Rhinolophus ferrumequinum: one gene and its partner. The protein of the gene in region 2 purifies or fractionates together with the protein of the main gene of each other region. This does not show direct contact. Links are inferred from orthologs where the notes say so. Each region holds a gene or a part of one and is shown on either strand. Other genes may lie near its edges. The genes, in order: TARBP2 and AGO2.

Evidence for each region.
Region 1: the proteins of AGO2 (region 2) and TARBP2 purify together in Homo sapiens (co-immunoprecipitation; 10 studies listed by BioGRID and IntAct, with this or other methods). This does not show direct contact. The link is inferred for Rhinolophus ferrumequinum from reciprocal best matches to the Homo sapiens genes AGO2 and TARBP2.

What each region holds. Positions count from the first base shown.
Region 1 is NC_046293.1:53,364,430-53,372,199, forward strand, and holds the start of TARBP2 (RISC-loading complex subunit TARBP2), read left to right. Parts: upstream 1-4,629; 5' UTR 4,630-4,982; coding exon 4,983-5,035; intron 5,036-5,593; coding exon 5,594-5,763; intron 5,764-6,545; coding exon 6,546-6,648; intron 6,649-7,225; coding exon 7,226-7,321; intron 7,322-7,770. UniProt on the Homo sapiens protein: Required for formation of the RNA induced silencing complex (RISC). Component of the RISC loading complex (RLC), also known as the micro-RNA (miRNA) loading complex (miRLC), which is composed of DICER1, AGO2 and TARBP2.
Region 2 is NC_046297.1:71,129,807-71,138,509, forward strand, and holds the start of AGO2 (protein argonaute-2), read right to left. Parts: upstream 3,672-8,703; 5' UTR 3,579-3,671; coding exon 3,557-3,578; intron 1-3,556.

The DNA of each region.
Region 1 (7,770 bases), on a different chromosome or scaffold from region 2:
GGAGGGACAGCCAGTTAGCTCAGTTGGTTAGGGCATGGTGCTGGTAGCGCCAAGGTTGCCATCGATCCCTGCATGGGCCATGGTAAGCTGCGCCCTCCTTAAAAAAAAAAAAGATCTTGAAGGATAGATACCAAAGTGTAACATTTTCTAGGTTGGTAGAATGGTGGTTGTTTATCTTCTTGCGGCTTATCTATATTTTCTACTATTTCAGTAATGACTTTGAATTGTTTTAAAATGAGAAATTTAAAAATCTATTTTAAATCGAAAAAGAGGACGTCAAAATAAGAGTGTCCATCCATCCCTATCACCTCCCGTGTTTCCCTGAAAATAAGACCTAGCCGGACAATCAGCTCTAATGCGCCTTTTGGAGCAAAAATTAATATAAGACCCGGTATTATATTATATTATACCCGGTATTATATAATAATATTATTTTATTATTAGATTATACCCAGTATTATATAATAATATTATTATTATATTATTATATTATACCGGGTCTTAGAGTAAAATATAGCTTGGGACGACAGTGTGCTATAGAGAGAGGGTGGATAACCTGAGAATCAGAGGCTTGGTTGACATCCTGTCTCTGCTCCTGACCATTTGGGCAACCTGGAGTATGAGACTTCTTAACAAACCTCACAGGTCCTTCATCTCTCAGTGGGGACAGTGATGCCTATGACACACAGTGGTAATGCAATATACCTGGGGGGCCAAAAAATATATAATATATACACGACTTGGATTCATCTTTTGTTATTGGTATATATTGAATATTACAATTTTAATAGTTTTTCCCTTTCTTAAAATATATATACATTGTTTTGGCACCCTCTGTCTAATGTGGTAAGAACACAGGCTCTAGGTCCAACAGACCCTAAGCTCTAACTATATACTGATTTTTTCACTTTGAACAGATTACTTAAGTTTAGTTTCCTCATCGCTAAAATAGAGACAATGATAACACTACCTAATGCTTAGTCCTGCTATGCGCATTACTGAGATAATTCAAATAAAGTTCTGGGCCCAGGACTTGGCACCCAGGAAGCCCTCTCTAAGCATTAGCCGTGTGGAAAGTGCCTGACAAGCACTCGTGGGGGTTTTATACATGTGATTCCTATTCCTTCTTTCCCTTTTCCTCCTCTGCAGAGCAAGAGGCAGTAGGGAGGGTACAAGTGGAAAGGGAAGTGGACAAACACGAGAGGGGAAAAAAGAGCAAAGAAAGAAGACGGCAAAGGACGAGGGCTCTTTATCCTGGGTGAGCCTGGGTCTCATCTGCAATGGCGTCCCTGCCTCATCACCTCCTCCAACACACACGACCCTAGTCCTTCTGGGAGCAAATGAAGCCGACAGACCAGTCTCTGTGGCCAATCCCTCATGACACAGCCCCTGCGTCCCCTACTCCATCAGCTCCACATTTTACTCCTTCTGCCCCAGCAGGGACTCCTGCAGGGGTTGATTCCCTCATCCCTTCTTTCTCCCCAGCCCAGGCAGGGGAGACATAGTTGAGCACACGTGAGCCATTTTGCCACTAGGTGAGTCTAGGATGGTGGGTACTAGCAAAGCCAGACTACCATATGTCACCTCTAGGGGAAGGAGTGGGAGACAGCAGTTGGTGTTTGGAGGGGTTCTTCCATCCTCAGCAGTAAGGACACTCAGGAAATCCTGAGCCACTTCCTTACTTAAATTTCTTGCCTCCTCTGCCCATATCTGGGTTTAATTAGGGGATGGATATTTAGTTGTGTGTTTTTATGTGTGCTGGAGTTTAGGCATCACACCGTTGGTCTTCTTAGCATCACCTCATCCCCACTGTGAGTGGGTGAGTGGCAGGGTTGAAAGGACAGCTGCTTTTCTCCAACCTTAAGTGTGAGGTAGGAGAGAGCAGGCCCTAAAGCTCAGAGGAACTTCAGTGTCTGGATAGGAAGGCCCAGGGCGCACTTGGGCCCTTTCCTTCCTCAATTCTTTCTGCTCGCCTACCCGTGGTATGACCCTCTTCCCTTAGTATAACCCTCTGGCCGAAAATCAGAGCTCCCAGCACCACGGGGTCCACCCTGCAAGTTGGAAGGGAGCTGTGAGTTGTTTAGAGGGAGGCACTGACTGGCTTGAGAGGACTCTGGGTGGGGGAGAGACCTCATGTGCACTCTCTCCTGGTTGAGGGTAAGTCACCCACTCCCCAAGAGAGCAGGACACCCCACTATTTCCTTCCACTGTCTGTGGAGCCTCTGGCCCCTTCTCTTACCTCCCCTCAGCCAAGGCCGTGGTATCAGGAGTCTTAACTCTGTGGAAAGGATTCTTGCGTATTTTTAAGCCAAGGAGTTTGAGGAAGGAGTGTGTGGGGAAAAGGGAGGAGGTTCTGAAAGGCCTGGGCTGGGGAAATGGGTTAGGGGCGCCAGAGGAGATGGAGAGGAGGAGGAAGGAGAAAGCCACATCTGAATGGGGGAGGGGAGGATGCAACAGCTGGATGGAGGTGAATGCCACAGCTGGAGGGGATTAGGGGCTTCACAGTGGGAAGGGGAGGAGGACCATCCCTGGGCATCCAGGAACAGGTGCTTTTTGCCTATAATCTTCAGGTGCAGCCCGATAAGTGTGTGTGGGAGGAGGGTGAGGGGCTCAGTGGGCACATAAGGCCTTGTCCTTCCTTTCCTTCCCTCTCAGGGACCAAAACTCTTCCTCCTCCTTCCCTCGCCCTTCTTGCGGATGAGTGGGAGGAGAAGAGGATGGTCTCTTTCCCGCTGTCCTTTAAGTCTGTTCCCCAGTCATCTCCCCACCCCATGCAGTCCTTTCCAGCTCTTCAGGCCCTTCATCTCCAAGCTGGGCCGCGGTGTCCCTCCGCTCCGTTCCCCTCCTTTACACCCCCACAGGCGTCGGGTCCAGGTCCCCAGTTCCTCCATCCCCACAGCCTCAGCATCCCCGTTCCACCTTCCCCCACCCCGCCACATCTGCATCCCGACCCTCCCTCGGCACCGGGATCACAGGACCCGGACCCATCCCTGCCACCCACCCCCCACAACTCGGCCCGGCTCTCACCTCAGGGGCTCCGCGGCCGCAGCACAAAAGGCGGCGCTGCTGCAGCTCGGCTCCGGATGCTGCTCCCGCCTCCTCCTCCACCTCCTTCTCCTCCTCCTTCTCTCCTCCCCCCCGCTGCCCTCGACTGGACCCGGGGCGCTGTCACAGGCGATGCTCGTGCAGTGTCCGGGTGTACGCCCCAGATTTCTCCCCCCACCCCCCGACCCCTAGCCCCGTCCCCACTCGGCTTGAACTCCCGCTCCTTCCTAGGCCCCTGCCTCTAGCCCCCCGGGACGGACACGCCCTGAGCGGGGATGCTGCGCTGGAGCCGTCGGCCTCTTAAAGGAGCCCGCTGCAGCCGTCCGGTGTGCTCCAGGCTGGATGCGGCCCGTCTGGACCCCTCACCTCCCTGCTGGCGGTCCCACCTTAGGCATTATGGTGATTCCGTAGGAGCCTCCTATGGCCGGTCTTATAAACTCCCTCCTATACCCTGAGACAGTAGCCCCTCAGATGGGACACCCTCCTACCCCCCGCTCTAGAGTTGCTCTCCTTGTCATACTAATTTTGCTAGCTCTCCATCACCTAATTGTCACCACTCCAGTTCCACCCAATGGGAATCCACTCAGCTCAGTGCTCTGTCCCCATCCCGTGTTCCTGGATGACCCCTCATTATCATTCCAAAATTCCTTTGGATATCCACCTCAGACCAAGCCGTGTCGTCCCTGACCCATTCTCAGAACACTCATTAGAATCACATTTTTCGTGATTTCTTTCTCTCCAAGGTCACAAGATTTCCCCCTATCTTTCAGCCCAGTGGTTGTGAGACTTTGGGGAGGAGGGAATGCTCTGACAGCCAGATTAGTCGGTTAGTTTTAGGAGGCCAAAAACCTTCTCTTGCCCAGAGAACCCCAAGACCCACGGCAGAGAGAACAGAACCACCATTAGTCCTTCCAATTCTGTCGTCCCACTACAGTCTCATCCTCAGGCTTCAGAGGACGTCTCCCGGCCAGCGACAGAAAGGTTCACTACGGCCATTCTAAAAAGGCTTTAAAAAAGAAGCGTAAATCCGACAGGCTGCGGGGCACAGTTAAGGGGAAGAGAAGTGAAGGACAACTTAGGAAAAGAAAGCAGGTTCTGTGACACGAATGCCCGAGGGCCAGGGGCTTATGCCGAGGGCTGAGGCGGAAACTGAGATGGACCTGGACGAACAACTGCCCCCGCGCTCTGAGGAGGGCTAAGAACAGTCCCCTCCCGCGTCCTAGTAAGGCCCACCCTTCCACCCTGTAAAGAGGAAGGATCCGATAGCAGTTTCGCCCCTAGACCAATCACAACCTTTTCTCAAGAAAGAGGCAGGATCAAGGGAGATGACTTTCCTTGTCCCTGCCCTCTAGGTGAAGTAACCAATCGCAATCCACCTAGAGCAAGTAATCGCAATCGGAAATAACCAATTACGCCGGGCAGCTTCTCGTGCATGCCTGACCCTGCCCCTCCAGCTGCGGCAAAGATGGCGCGCGAACTCCTGGGTTCTGTAGTTTTCTCAGGAGTCGAAGGCCCCTTTCCCCCACTACTCGTTAGCCCTTACCACCCCGCCCCCAGTCGCTTCCACTCAGCTAGTGCGCATGCCCACAGCGCCCGCCCAAGAGAGAGGAGACGCGGAAGGAAGGTGGCGGGAACGATATTAAAAAAACAAAACAAAAAAACCACTTCTCAGCTCTGGAAGCGACTGCAGAAAGATTCGCTCCTCCCAGAAGGAGGTGCTGGCCGCGAGGGCGAACCACGCGGAGCGTTGTGGGGCGGAGAGCTCCTGATGGAGACTCAAGGAATCGGGTGGGCGGGGGACTCCATATCCCAGCATGCCCCGCGGCGGGCCCGACCGGCCGCGACTCCGGGCTTGGCCCCGGCCCTAGCTCGTTGGCGGTGTATTGGGGCGCGTGGAGGCAGCAGTCACGGTGGCGCCCGCGGGGACGGAGGAGGGAATGAGTGAAGAGGAGCAGGGCTCCGGCACTACCACGGGCTGCGGGCTGCCCAGGTGAGCCGCCTCGTGCCGATCGCTGCAGGGCGAAGAGCGTGGTGCGATTTGGGGGGGTAGCGGCGCGGCCCCGCCCCAGCATGCATCTGGCCTGGGGGTTCTTCCCGGCAAGCACTGGGGTAGTGGGCCGTGGTTCCCAGCATGCACCGAGCAGTGGCCAGTGTCTCTAGCTTGAAACAATTTGGGGCTGGCCGAGTCTCCCAGATTGCACTAGGGCACTGGGCTGTATGCCCCCCGACGTTCAGTACACTTGGTGGGTACTGGGTTCCTGGCCTGCACTGTGTCAGGGTACGTGCACTTCCAAGCTGCACTCTGGTACAGGATCCCCCGCCTTAACTGAGACAGGAACAGTGCATTCCCCGCTTGCCCCGGGGCAGTGGACCCTGCTTTCCCAGCCTGCATCTCTACTCCAAATTGAACCCAGCCAATGGCTGCTGTACTGCCTGGGGTCCCGTGGACCCTGTGTTCCCCATAGTGTGCTTGGGTCTGATAAAACAGTGCTTGGCCAGGTGGGTGCAGAGAGGGGAGGTGTGATGAGGGTCTGTGCCCCTACCCCAGTATAGAGCAAATGCTGGCAGCCAACCCGGGCAAGACCCCGATCAGCCTTCTGCAGGAGTATGGGACCAGAATAGGGAAGACGCCCGTGTACGACCTTCTCAAAGCCGAGGGCCAAGCCCACCAGCCTAATTTCACCTTTCGGGTCACCGTTGGCGACACCAGCTGCACTGGTGAGGAAGGCTTGGGCAGCCTAGCTGGGGTGTGCGTTCACAGGGCCCCATTGGCTTTATTTTTTGGAATCTCTTCACAGTACTTTTCTTCAAAGGCCAGTAAGGGAAAGAATTTTCAGGGGGAAAGGCCACTGACTGGATTGGGAGAACAGGTCTGTGAGGAGGTGGGTAGGGCTTGGGAGAATTAGAGGAACAAGCAGGACTGCCACCGTGACCTGGTAGGTCATCATCATCCTAGAGGAAAAAGTAAGAGGAGATAAATGGAAATCGCAGTGAAGTATTGGGGAGTGCCTGCTGTGTTCTAGGTGCTTAACCAAATTCCTACTTAATCATAAGCCTCAGTCTAATCCAGTAATGTAGGGGGTGGTATCCTCATGTTGAATTTGAGGAGATGGAGGCTCAGAGAGATCCAATGACTTCTTCACATGCTTAGTTAGTGGCAGAGCCAGGCTTTGACTCTAGAGCCTACCCTCTCTCTATTTTTTCAGCCATCTATTTATTGAGAGAAAAGAAAGTGCTTCCCAGAGGAAAGTAAGGCAGAGAAAGAATCTCCACCTAAGGTGTCTGAGCTCAGGAGCAGTTCTTGATTTGGGGAGCTCATGGAAAGATAAGGGCCCTTCCTTCCAGCAATTAGTGTAACACTTCCAGTCTTGGGCAGGGGGGAGGTTGGTGAGAAGGGATTTGGTTGACTTCCTGTGGTTGTGGGGAGAGAGGCTGTGGGATGCTGGTTTCTCTTCTGTCCTTCCAGTGATCTCCAGTATTGCCCACACCCCCTCTCTCAGGTCAGGGCCCCAGCAAGAAGGCAGCCAAGCACAAGGCAGCTGAGGTGGCCCTCAAACACCTCAAAGGGGGGAGCATGCTGGAGCCGGCCCTGGAGGACAGCAGGTGAGGGAGGAACAGCTGCGGCATCCTAGAGGCCCTGCCAAGAGCCCAGGCCCCTGCACTAGCCCTCTGCCCACTAGGCCTGGCCTGGTGATACTTAGCCACCTTGACCTGGCCTCTTCCTAAGACTCCTCTGGACTCGAGCAGGAAGCTTCCAGGGCTCCTGCTGCCGTGAAGGATTCTGGGGGGAATGGCCAGCCCCACTGAGGGACTGTGGTTTGGGGCTCAGGCTAGGGAGGGAGAGGGGTGGAGGCTGAGGGAGTTGCTCCCCAACATACCTCCTCTCTCTATCAAGGTGTCCTTCCCTCTTCTGCACTCAGGTCAGAGATTGTTGCTCCCATGGTTCTTGGGTACAAAAAGACCCTCCTTTTCCTTTTCTCTATCTTTTTGATCTGGTAATTTGGCAGCAATGGATCCCAGGAGGAAGAGCTGGTGGTTGAGCTTCTCTGAGTCTTTGGCTCAAGTGGGAAGGACTTTTCTTAGGGGATGGGCAGATCAGAAGGACCTGGGTCTCCCACCCTTCCTTTACTCCCCCCACCCCACATGGGTGTGAATCAAAGGCCCCCTTCCCCTCGGGAAGTTCTTTTTCTCCCCTAGACTCTTCACTGCCTGAGGACGTTCCAGTTTTTACTGCTGCAGTGGCTGCTACTCCTGTTCCATCTGCTGTCCCAACCAGGTATCTTGTCTCCTGACTGCCTGAAGGGGGGAGGAAAGGGTCCTGGCTGTTGGTCCTCAGCCCTTGGACCCAGGCTGGCCAGGCATGAGGAAGTTTGAGAATAAACAGAGTCTGGAGTAATTGGGGACCAGACATGGAAGAAGTTGCACTAGCTGGTAAGCTCTTGGGAGAGGATGTAATTAATGATTTTTAAATAGCCATATGGATGATGTTTGACTATGTTTAAGGGTCTTGCAGGTACCATTTTCTTCTGAGTTGGCCCCATGATAGTCCTGTGTTTGAGTCCCATCAGGTGCTTCCAGGGACTGGATATACAGCCCCACTCCCACTGTCCTGGCGAGGTGACGATCAAGTGTTCTAGAAAATCGAAATGGGCCTGGGACCTGGAGGAGACCTCAGTTGTGGGGGAGGGGGAAGGAAGCAGTCTGGATGTTTGGACAAACAGCTGA
Region 2 (8,703 bases):
AGAAGTTTAAAACTTCAATGGCTTCATTAAGTCAAGAGCAGGGCAAAGGGGGGACGCCAGCTTTAGACTCTCGATTAAAGAGGCTCAGAAAACATCAAACCAAATTTCTATGAACTTTTATTCAAATCCAGGAGCCACAACCACCACCTGTCAACAAACTTCTGAGATAATGAGACACCGAGTCTGGCCTAAGTGAGATAATGGCACTGGGCTGAGAAAGTGCCACCCTGCAGACATGGGACGTAAGCACTAGGGCTGAGGCGGCAGGCTTACAACTGGCTTTCGAATACTGCTGCAAAGAAAAGGGGGAAAGGGGTGTATCTGAGGCAAAGCTGGGAAATGTGCGTAACTGTTGAAGCTGATGGACAAACGGGAGCGTACTGCAGTAGTCACCCTACTTTTGTGTATTTTCAATTAGTTCACAATAGAAAGTGTTTTGAAAAATTAAGCGATATATTTTGAAGGCTCACGCTAACAATTCAAGAAACAAAAATATATTTTACCAGACTGGCACTTTACAGTAGGGTTGCATACCTCATAAAGAAGAAACCCAACTGGCATTGTTAAAACTTGTAACACTGAAACTAGAAGTTAACGAAAAATATTCTGCTTCCTAAACAGGCTTTAGGAGTTGGGGCTTTTACTTTTTTTCCTTACACACTTATTTAACTTCTTCTTCAAGGTTTGTAACAGATCCAAGGGGACTCTGTACAACTACCCACCGCCCTCCGCACCAGGGCAGAGGCCATCTGCCGCGATGGCCCGCGTGCTCCACTAGTGGGAGATGGGTCCTATCTTCCCTGAGATAACCGAGGGTGGGGAGACGAAGTGGGGTGCAGGAGGAGTTAGAAACCACGATGGAAGCCGTTACTTCTCCAAGTCACCATCCTGCCTGGACCATTCTCCAAGGAGCCTCGGTGTCCCCAAGGTTACTTTGTAGCCTATCTGAGTGGAGTGGTGACCCCCAGGAGTCGAAACACAGTGAGACCAACGATGCCCTCACAGAAGGCATTTGCTCAGACACAGGCTAAGGTCATGAAAGGGTTAAATAAACAAAACGAAACTCATTGGTTCACCCAGGAAGGTTCACGGTCACTGGCGAATCCACCCACCCCAAACCACTAACTCTTTCGAACAGTTAAACAAAAGACGAATAGTAACATACCTAACCTGAGAGTCCAGATATTCACGCATGCGCTCGAGCAGTGACGATGGGCATAAGAGACCTACTGTGAACTCTATTTTAAAAATTAATTTACTGGGTAAGTCGCTTAGTAAGTGTATTAAAATTGGAAGTAGCAAAACTGTTTGTAATTTTTGTACAATCCAGATCGAATGTCTTCTCGTTATTCTAAATTAAGAAATATAATATTAAAAAGAGTTTCATTGAGGAGACTCTAGTCCAAAAATTAAAAGCCTTAGTGTGTAGAATAAAATCGTGTGCCACCACAGCCTTGTAATTACAGCTCACTCATACAGCTTGAAAGTTGGGTTCAGTCCCATCCTGCCATTATCTAAGAACTATCCAGACCCATTTATTTTCTCAGGCTCCGCTGGCCGGCTGCAGGGCACGCTGGTCTGTGCAGCACGGCCCTCTCCCACCATGCACAGCACGGAGGCCTGCACCACAGCAAGAGTCTTCCAAAAGCCCTCAGCGACCAGAAAAGGGAGCCAGGAGATGGACGGGACTAAAGCATTTAAAAAAAAAAATGAAACAGACGAGGAAATCTCATGATGCAGGTTATGCAGTAAGGTGAGCGGTGCCTCCAGAAGCTCCAGTTTCAACGATACCTGTGTGTACTCACACCCCACTCTAGTCCAGATGTAACAGGTATTTCTCACTGTGGGTCAAAGTCAAAAGACTGACAGCCACTACTCTCTGAGGACAGTGCACAGAGAGTCAGCTTGGGGATCAGACAGATCGTCCTAATGCTCGCTGGTCCTATGACCTTGGCAAGGTCTTAACCTCTCTGAGCCTCTGTCATGATGAACACCACCAACTTAGCAAGCTGTCCCGCAGATTCAATACCGTGAAACACAACACAAAAACTTGACCTTCCTCAAGGTTCTTCACTTTCTCCAGGCCTTCGACTTTTAAACCGAAAACCAGGAAACATGTCCAGTGGGGCAGCAAACACTTGCTGGGTCCTCTACAAGGATCATCTGGGAGAGGGGCGACCCGGCCAAGTCACAGATGGGGGTGGGGGGCACCGCCCAGAATCTCAAGAAGCCAAATATGCCCCAGGACAGTAACAGCAAGAGTCCAGGCCCATTCCCCACAAGGGCTGAGTCCCCTCCCAGGTGGAGGGTTAAAGTCATTCTTCAGTCAACTTGCTGAGTGCCCTTAAGAGTTTGTCAGGCTCAGCCTTGGAGAAGCTAAGTGACATCAGAAAAAAGACACTCAGAAGTCACAGACATAGATCTGTTTGTGAACAGACACACAGTGGGAGACAATGTCAAGGGACCCGAGCGGATCAAGAGGGGCTTCCAGACTGGAGATCTGGAGCAGGTCTGGAACAGGTGGGGCCAGGGCCCCATGGCAGGAGGCCGTCAAGGGCCCAGGCCTGGGACACACCTAGCACAGGGCCAGAGCCCCCTAGCATGGAGCCCGTGGGGCCTGCAGCTTGCTCCAGCCTGGCGGACAAAGGGGACAGGCAATACCCTGTGCAAGTGGCAGGGCCAGCGGGAAATTTAGAAGCCACGTGCCTGGCGGGAGGCAGCGATAAAGCTTTATAACACTGGACCATTTTCTTGGACGAGCAAGTCAATGGTCCTTCTAACTGTGCATTTAAAAAAGGTGGGGGCAATGTGTTACCGCTTTTAGCATTTTAAGTTTTTTAGAACTTCTCCAAAGGAAAAGGCTGACTAGTAAGAAGGGGTGCTAAGGAAATCAACACATCTCCTTACCTCTCCTAGCAAATTGGAAAAGGCAATTAGCACTTGAATAAGGGGCTGGCGTGTCTGGAATGAGACTGAGCCGCATGCAGTTTCAGGGTTCAGGGGACCGCTTCCTATCCCTCTCAGTTTACAATCCGAACTACCAACAGCAATTGGCCAAAATTCAGCATCTGCAGACTTTCCTTCAGAGAAGGGGCCGCAGAAGTGCTGGCAACAAGAAAAACGAAACTGAGTGCGCTCCAGCCTCGCCGCCTCCTCTCCCGCCGCCCGCGCCCCGCGCCCCGCGCCCCGCGCCCCGCGCCCCGCGCCCCGACCCGGGCCTGCGTCCTCGGCGCTCAGAGCCCGGCCTCCGCGCCCGACCCGGCGGCGCGGGGCCCACACGCGGGCCTCGGGCCTACACGCGCCCGCCCGGCCCTGGTCCCGGCCCGCGGGGCCCCAGGCGGCGACGGGGACGCGGGAGGCCCAGGCCGCGGGGGCGCCCCGACGACCCGGCCCGAGAAGGCCGGGCTGAGCGGCTGCGCCGGGATCGGGGAACGGCCGGCGGCTCCGGGCCCCGGTTCCCGGCCCCGAACCGCCGCCCGCCCGCCGCCCGGGCCCGGCCCGCGCCGCGCTCGCGCCCGCCCGCCAACCGCTCCCCGCGCCGCGCGCGAGGACTCACCGGTGCCGGCTCCCGAGTACATGGTGGCGCCGCCGAGGGGCTCCGGGGCCGAGGGGCGGCCGCGCGCGCGCCACGGGCCCCGACGCCGCGAGCCGCGAGGGAGCCGCCGGCCGCACGATCCGCCCCAGCGCGGCCGCCTGGCCAAACAGGTTTACCCGACGCGGCCCGGGCGGCGGGCGGAGGCGGCGGCGGCGGCGGGAGGGGGAGGGGAGGAGGGAGGGGGCGGGGCGGGGAGAGGGAGGGGCGAGGGAGGAGAGGGCGGGGGAGGAGGGAGGCGCGAGCGCAGGCGGGAGAAGGGAAGGGGAGCCGGGCGCGCGCGAGTCTGGGGGGCCCGGGCGGGGACCCCGCGGGGCGGTGGAAACTGGGGGCGGGCGGGGATCCAGGACCCGGCCTGGGGCGGGACCGGGACGGGGACGGGGGCGGCGCGGAGCGGGGGGGGGGGGGGGGGACCCCTCACAGCCACTCAGATGGGCGACGTGGCCTCTGCCGGGGCGGAGCAGGGCCAGCTCGGCGTCGCTGCCGGAGACCTGGGAGAAAGACGAGAAAACAGCCCTTGTTTCCCCGCCGCCTCCGGGCTCGTGGGGACCCCCTTCTGGTTGTTCGCGGGGTGTGGAGGGGGGCGCGCATGACCCTCTCCATCCTCACCCCACCCGGCCGGGTGCACTTGGGCACGGGTTGGGGGCCCAGCGTCTCAGCCTGGCCTTTTTTTTTTTTTTTTTTTTTTTTTAAGTTATTAACCAAACCTGAATGTCGGGAAGCTAGCTTCCCACCCGGAGTTTGAACTGGAACGCGTCCGGCCCTCGTACACGACCACACCGCCACCTCCCGGCCAAGAACCCAGAAAATCCATGTAAAAAAATTCTTACTAAGTTTCGGTAAATTTCAGATGCCGTCAACGACGCGATCAGACTAAAACTCCCCGGGCCAGCACTCAGGGGTCTCCCCAGGCTCTTCACACGGGTCCCCATCGTGCTCCTGCGTGCGTTTCTGTACCTGCCCCACCTGCGTCGGAACTCCTCCCTCGTACCCACATCCTCCGTCCTTCACGTCCCCCGGGGTCCAGCGGTATTTTGGAGCCTTTTCCAGGGCAGCCAACGGGAACCTCCTTTCTCCCCTAATCGTAGGTGAAACAGTGCAGAGGTGCTCATCACCTTGTAACATCCTTGCTCGCTCGCTTCTTCACTCTATAAACTTGTATCATCTGCTACTGGTTGCTAGGAGCGGCGTGTTCCTCCCGCGGAGGGTAACGTGGACGTGAACTGGAGTCCCGCTTGCAAGGAGGTCGGCATGCAATAGGTTCATCACCAGTTCTTCGGCAACCCTCAAGGATCTCCCTAAAGAAGGGCAGGAAAACCAGCATTTCCTCCAGAGAGAAACTTAAAGGGACATCAATCTTCAAATCATTGACATCAATCAGTCTTCCAGATGCCCATCCATCACTCTCTAATCCTCGGCCCACCATCTCCACCCTCACGGCGGACCAGGTGGTCTGGAGCACCTGAAAAGCCCCTGAAATCACTCTCCGCCATTACCCACTCTCCACCCAACAGTCTCTTGTGTGAACACACATCTGATCTTGTGCCTGCTTTGCTCCAAATCCTTCATTGGCTCCCCATTTCCGTACGCACGTGGTCCACACTCTCCATTTGGTTTCCAGTGCCCTGTGACACAGCCCTACCTGCTTTGCCAGAATCTTCTACTTCACCCCCTTCAGGTTCTTCCTCGAGTGTTACTGCGAGAGTGGGACTGAGTACAATCATTTTGAAGACCAGTGTCTGGCAGAGCTGACCACCGGGCCCCAGGTGGACAGGCTGCTGAATGTGCGACCCCGAGCACAGGACTGGGCACCACCCAGGTACTCAGCCGTGGAACAGGTCAGAGAGCCGTACATATTCATAAAGGTGAACCCAGTGAGAACGAACACCCTTCAGCTAAGTGTGACCCGCATCTCAGCAATGTTGGTGAAAGAAGCCACAGGCCACACTCCCTGCAGAATCCCAGTTATGAAGTTCCAAAGCAGGAGCCATGAAACCACATGGGTCAGGGATGCATAATTAAGTAATTAAGAGCTAAGGAAAAAGGAGGTGGTTACCATAAGAATCAGAATGGTGGGTACTGGTTGGCGGCAGGGGGTTGCTGTGACCAGAGGCCTTGGGGGATTTTGGGGTGCCGGGCACTCTCATTCCGGTACCACTACTGTTGGTTTGGCAAGTCTCCTAAGCTGTACATTTACTTTCTATATACTTTTCTGTACCTTTACTATAGTTCACAACCGAAACATTGTAACATACCAGACATGACTCCACTGTGTATGAACCATGACCCTCCGAGGTGTGTCTCTGTCTTACACACCCAGCACAGTGTCGCCTCCCCGAAATCCCCAATGACTCAGAGGCTTAAACGCTCTGCTGCTTCTGCTGTAACCTATGGCCTCTGGAAACCACCGGAAAACTGTTTCATCTCCTTCCCTCAGCGCCCTGCTTCTGGGAGAGCCCAGGCGGGTTTAAGTTTGTTGCCAGGGTTCCTTTGCAGGAGGTCTGGCAAGATAGTATCTCTCAGGCGTTTCTTTGTGTCACTGCCCCGCCGAGATTGACACGCGCGATCCCTGCTGGTGGAGGAGCGCTATTGCGGCCTGCCGGGCCCTCCAGACCCGTGAGCCCAGGATCTGGGTGGGGTTCTCCTGCCCCCCGCTGCTAGGACTGGGGTTCCCCTGTGCCCTCCTCTCCCAGACTTTACCCCCCACTGCCTGTGCTGAGGAATCCCACCCCTTTCCTGCCCCCGGCCCCGCAGCTCCAGGCCCACAAGCATCAAACCAAGTTCAGCAGCTCAGCCGTCCTCCCCACCTGCTCCTTCTCCTGTGCCCCCAGCAGAGCCAACACTCACCATCCACCGAAGAAACCCCAGGGCCTCTGCCTGCTACCTCTACCGCAATCCGTGAATCCATTTAACCCACTTACTCGAGTCCACTCAATTCTGGCTTAACATGGCTCTAGAACCGCATCCAACTGCCGCTGCCCGGTTTCGTCAGGCCTTCAACCAACACCTGGATGTTGGCCCCACAGGGCCGACTCACGGGTCTTCCGGGGCCCAGTCTCTCTCCCTGATACAGGGGTCCCTATGCTCTGCTAAGACTGCAGGGCCTAATCACTGCCAGGGTCCCCCATGCTGGTCAGCCCCGGTTTGCGCATTGGGTGCCGCGGTCTAGAGCAGTTCCGCGCGGGGAGGCCAAGCGCACAGCGCCCTCCTGCGGTCATCCCACCCACGACGCTCTCAACTCAAGAGGCCCTACGCTTCTTCACGACACTGGAATAATTCGATTGTTCCAAAAACATGTCTGCACGTGATAAAAGAGGAGTTAGAAGGTCCAATAAATTGGGAATCATTCAGTTAAACAACACCAAACGGATTTATTGACCGCCAGCCTTCACAGAGCCTTTAACAAAAGATTAAGAATCAGGATTCTACAAAGAGGAAGGAAGAGAAAAGACCCTATGCAGCCTGTCCCAAATCTATTCCGCGACAGAACCCGTTTATCCCAGGGCACCTTCGGGTTCCATGGAGCACACTTTGGGAAACACTGAGGTAGAAATCTATGATCTCTTGCAGCTCTAATGTTTAAAGATCGTTTGGATAAAAATATCAGCTGTCTGTCTGAATTGAAAACCCAAGAGTGTGGTTGTGGATTGACAAATACTTCCATCAAAGTAGGAACAGAGTCCACGTGGCAGCCATTTCTCCACACGGAAACCACTGAGTCTGAACGCAGATCACTTTGTCATTTTGTGCACCCAACAGAGGCAGGCGGTCAGGGCTGCCTCCTTGCACAGACCCCGAGGCCACTGACACCGCGGTCTGCAGAGGGTATCACTCACTGGGACACAGAACTGCAAGAGGGGCTCATCCAGCAGTGCTCCTGAGACACTGTCGGCTGGCTCCACGACGGTTCTTTCTTCTGTGTAGTAAGGAGAGAAGAACCAAGCTGTCACTAACGTGAGGACACTGAAAAACTGACTCTCAATGGAGGGAAGATTTAAATGTGAACATAAAACAGACAAAAAATCAGGAGAAAAATCTTTGGGATCTAGGGCTAGGCAAATAGTTCTTACACTTGACACCAAAAATCACAATCCGTAACAGGAAAAGTGGGTACACTGGACTTCATCAAAATTCAAGCTTTTGCTCTGTGAAAGGCCCGGTTAAAAGGGTCAAAAGATGAGCTATCGAGTGGGAGAAAATATTTGTATACCGCACATCTGACAAAGTATCTAGAATATATAAAGAACCCTCAAAACTCAACAGTAAAAAAACAAACTTCATTTAGAATAGGGGCAAAAGACCTGGAGAGAGATTTCACTAAAGAGGAGATACGGAGGGTAAGAGCTCAAATAGGTAACCTGAAAAACAAATAAGATGGAAAGATGTTCCACATCACTGACCATTAGGAAAATGCAAGTTCCAGCCACAGTAAGACAACAATACACACCCACTACAATGCCTAAAATAAAAACAGTGACAGCGTGTGCAAGATGCCACAAAGTCTTGCTTCTGCTATAACATCAAGGGTTGCAAACTCAAATTCATTTTCTACAAAAGGTCTTGGAGAAGAATGTGGCTGTGGAGGATGCAACTTGAAGTATTTCCTGGAGTCAAAACAGATAAATAAAAGCTATTTTTCATATAGGGAGAAACCATTAATTAACATTATAATATTTGTCAAAGGAGTAAAGTATGTAACATAAACAAGTACCAATTTTTAACTCCACAATTCCTTTATACTGTCATTCTTATCATCTAGCATGTTTCTTTGAAATAATCTACTGATAAACTGTCATTCAGTAAGGTTTTTGGCTATAAGGCCAAAATTTAAAAATTAACCATCATTCTATATACTTTTGAGAAACAATTAAAAGTCAAATTGAAACAGAACGAAACATCAAAAATCTAGAAATAAATCTTATGAAAGACACGCAAAACCTCTGCACAGAACTCTATAAACATTAATAAGACCTAAATAAATGGAGGGAGATGGCATGTTCCTGTATTGGGACTCACTAGGGTAAAGATGTCACTTGTCCTCAAATGGACCGATAAATTCAATGCAATTTCAATAGATTTGGTTTTTGTATCACGGGGAGGAACTTGACAAG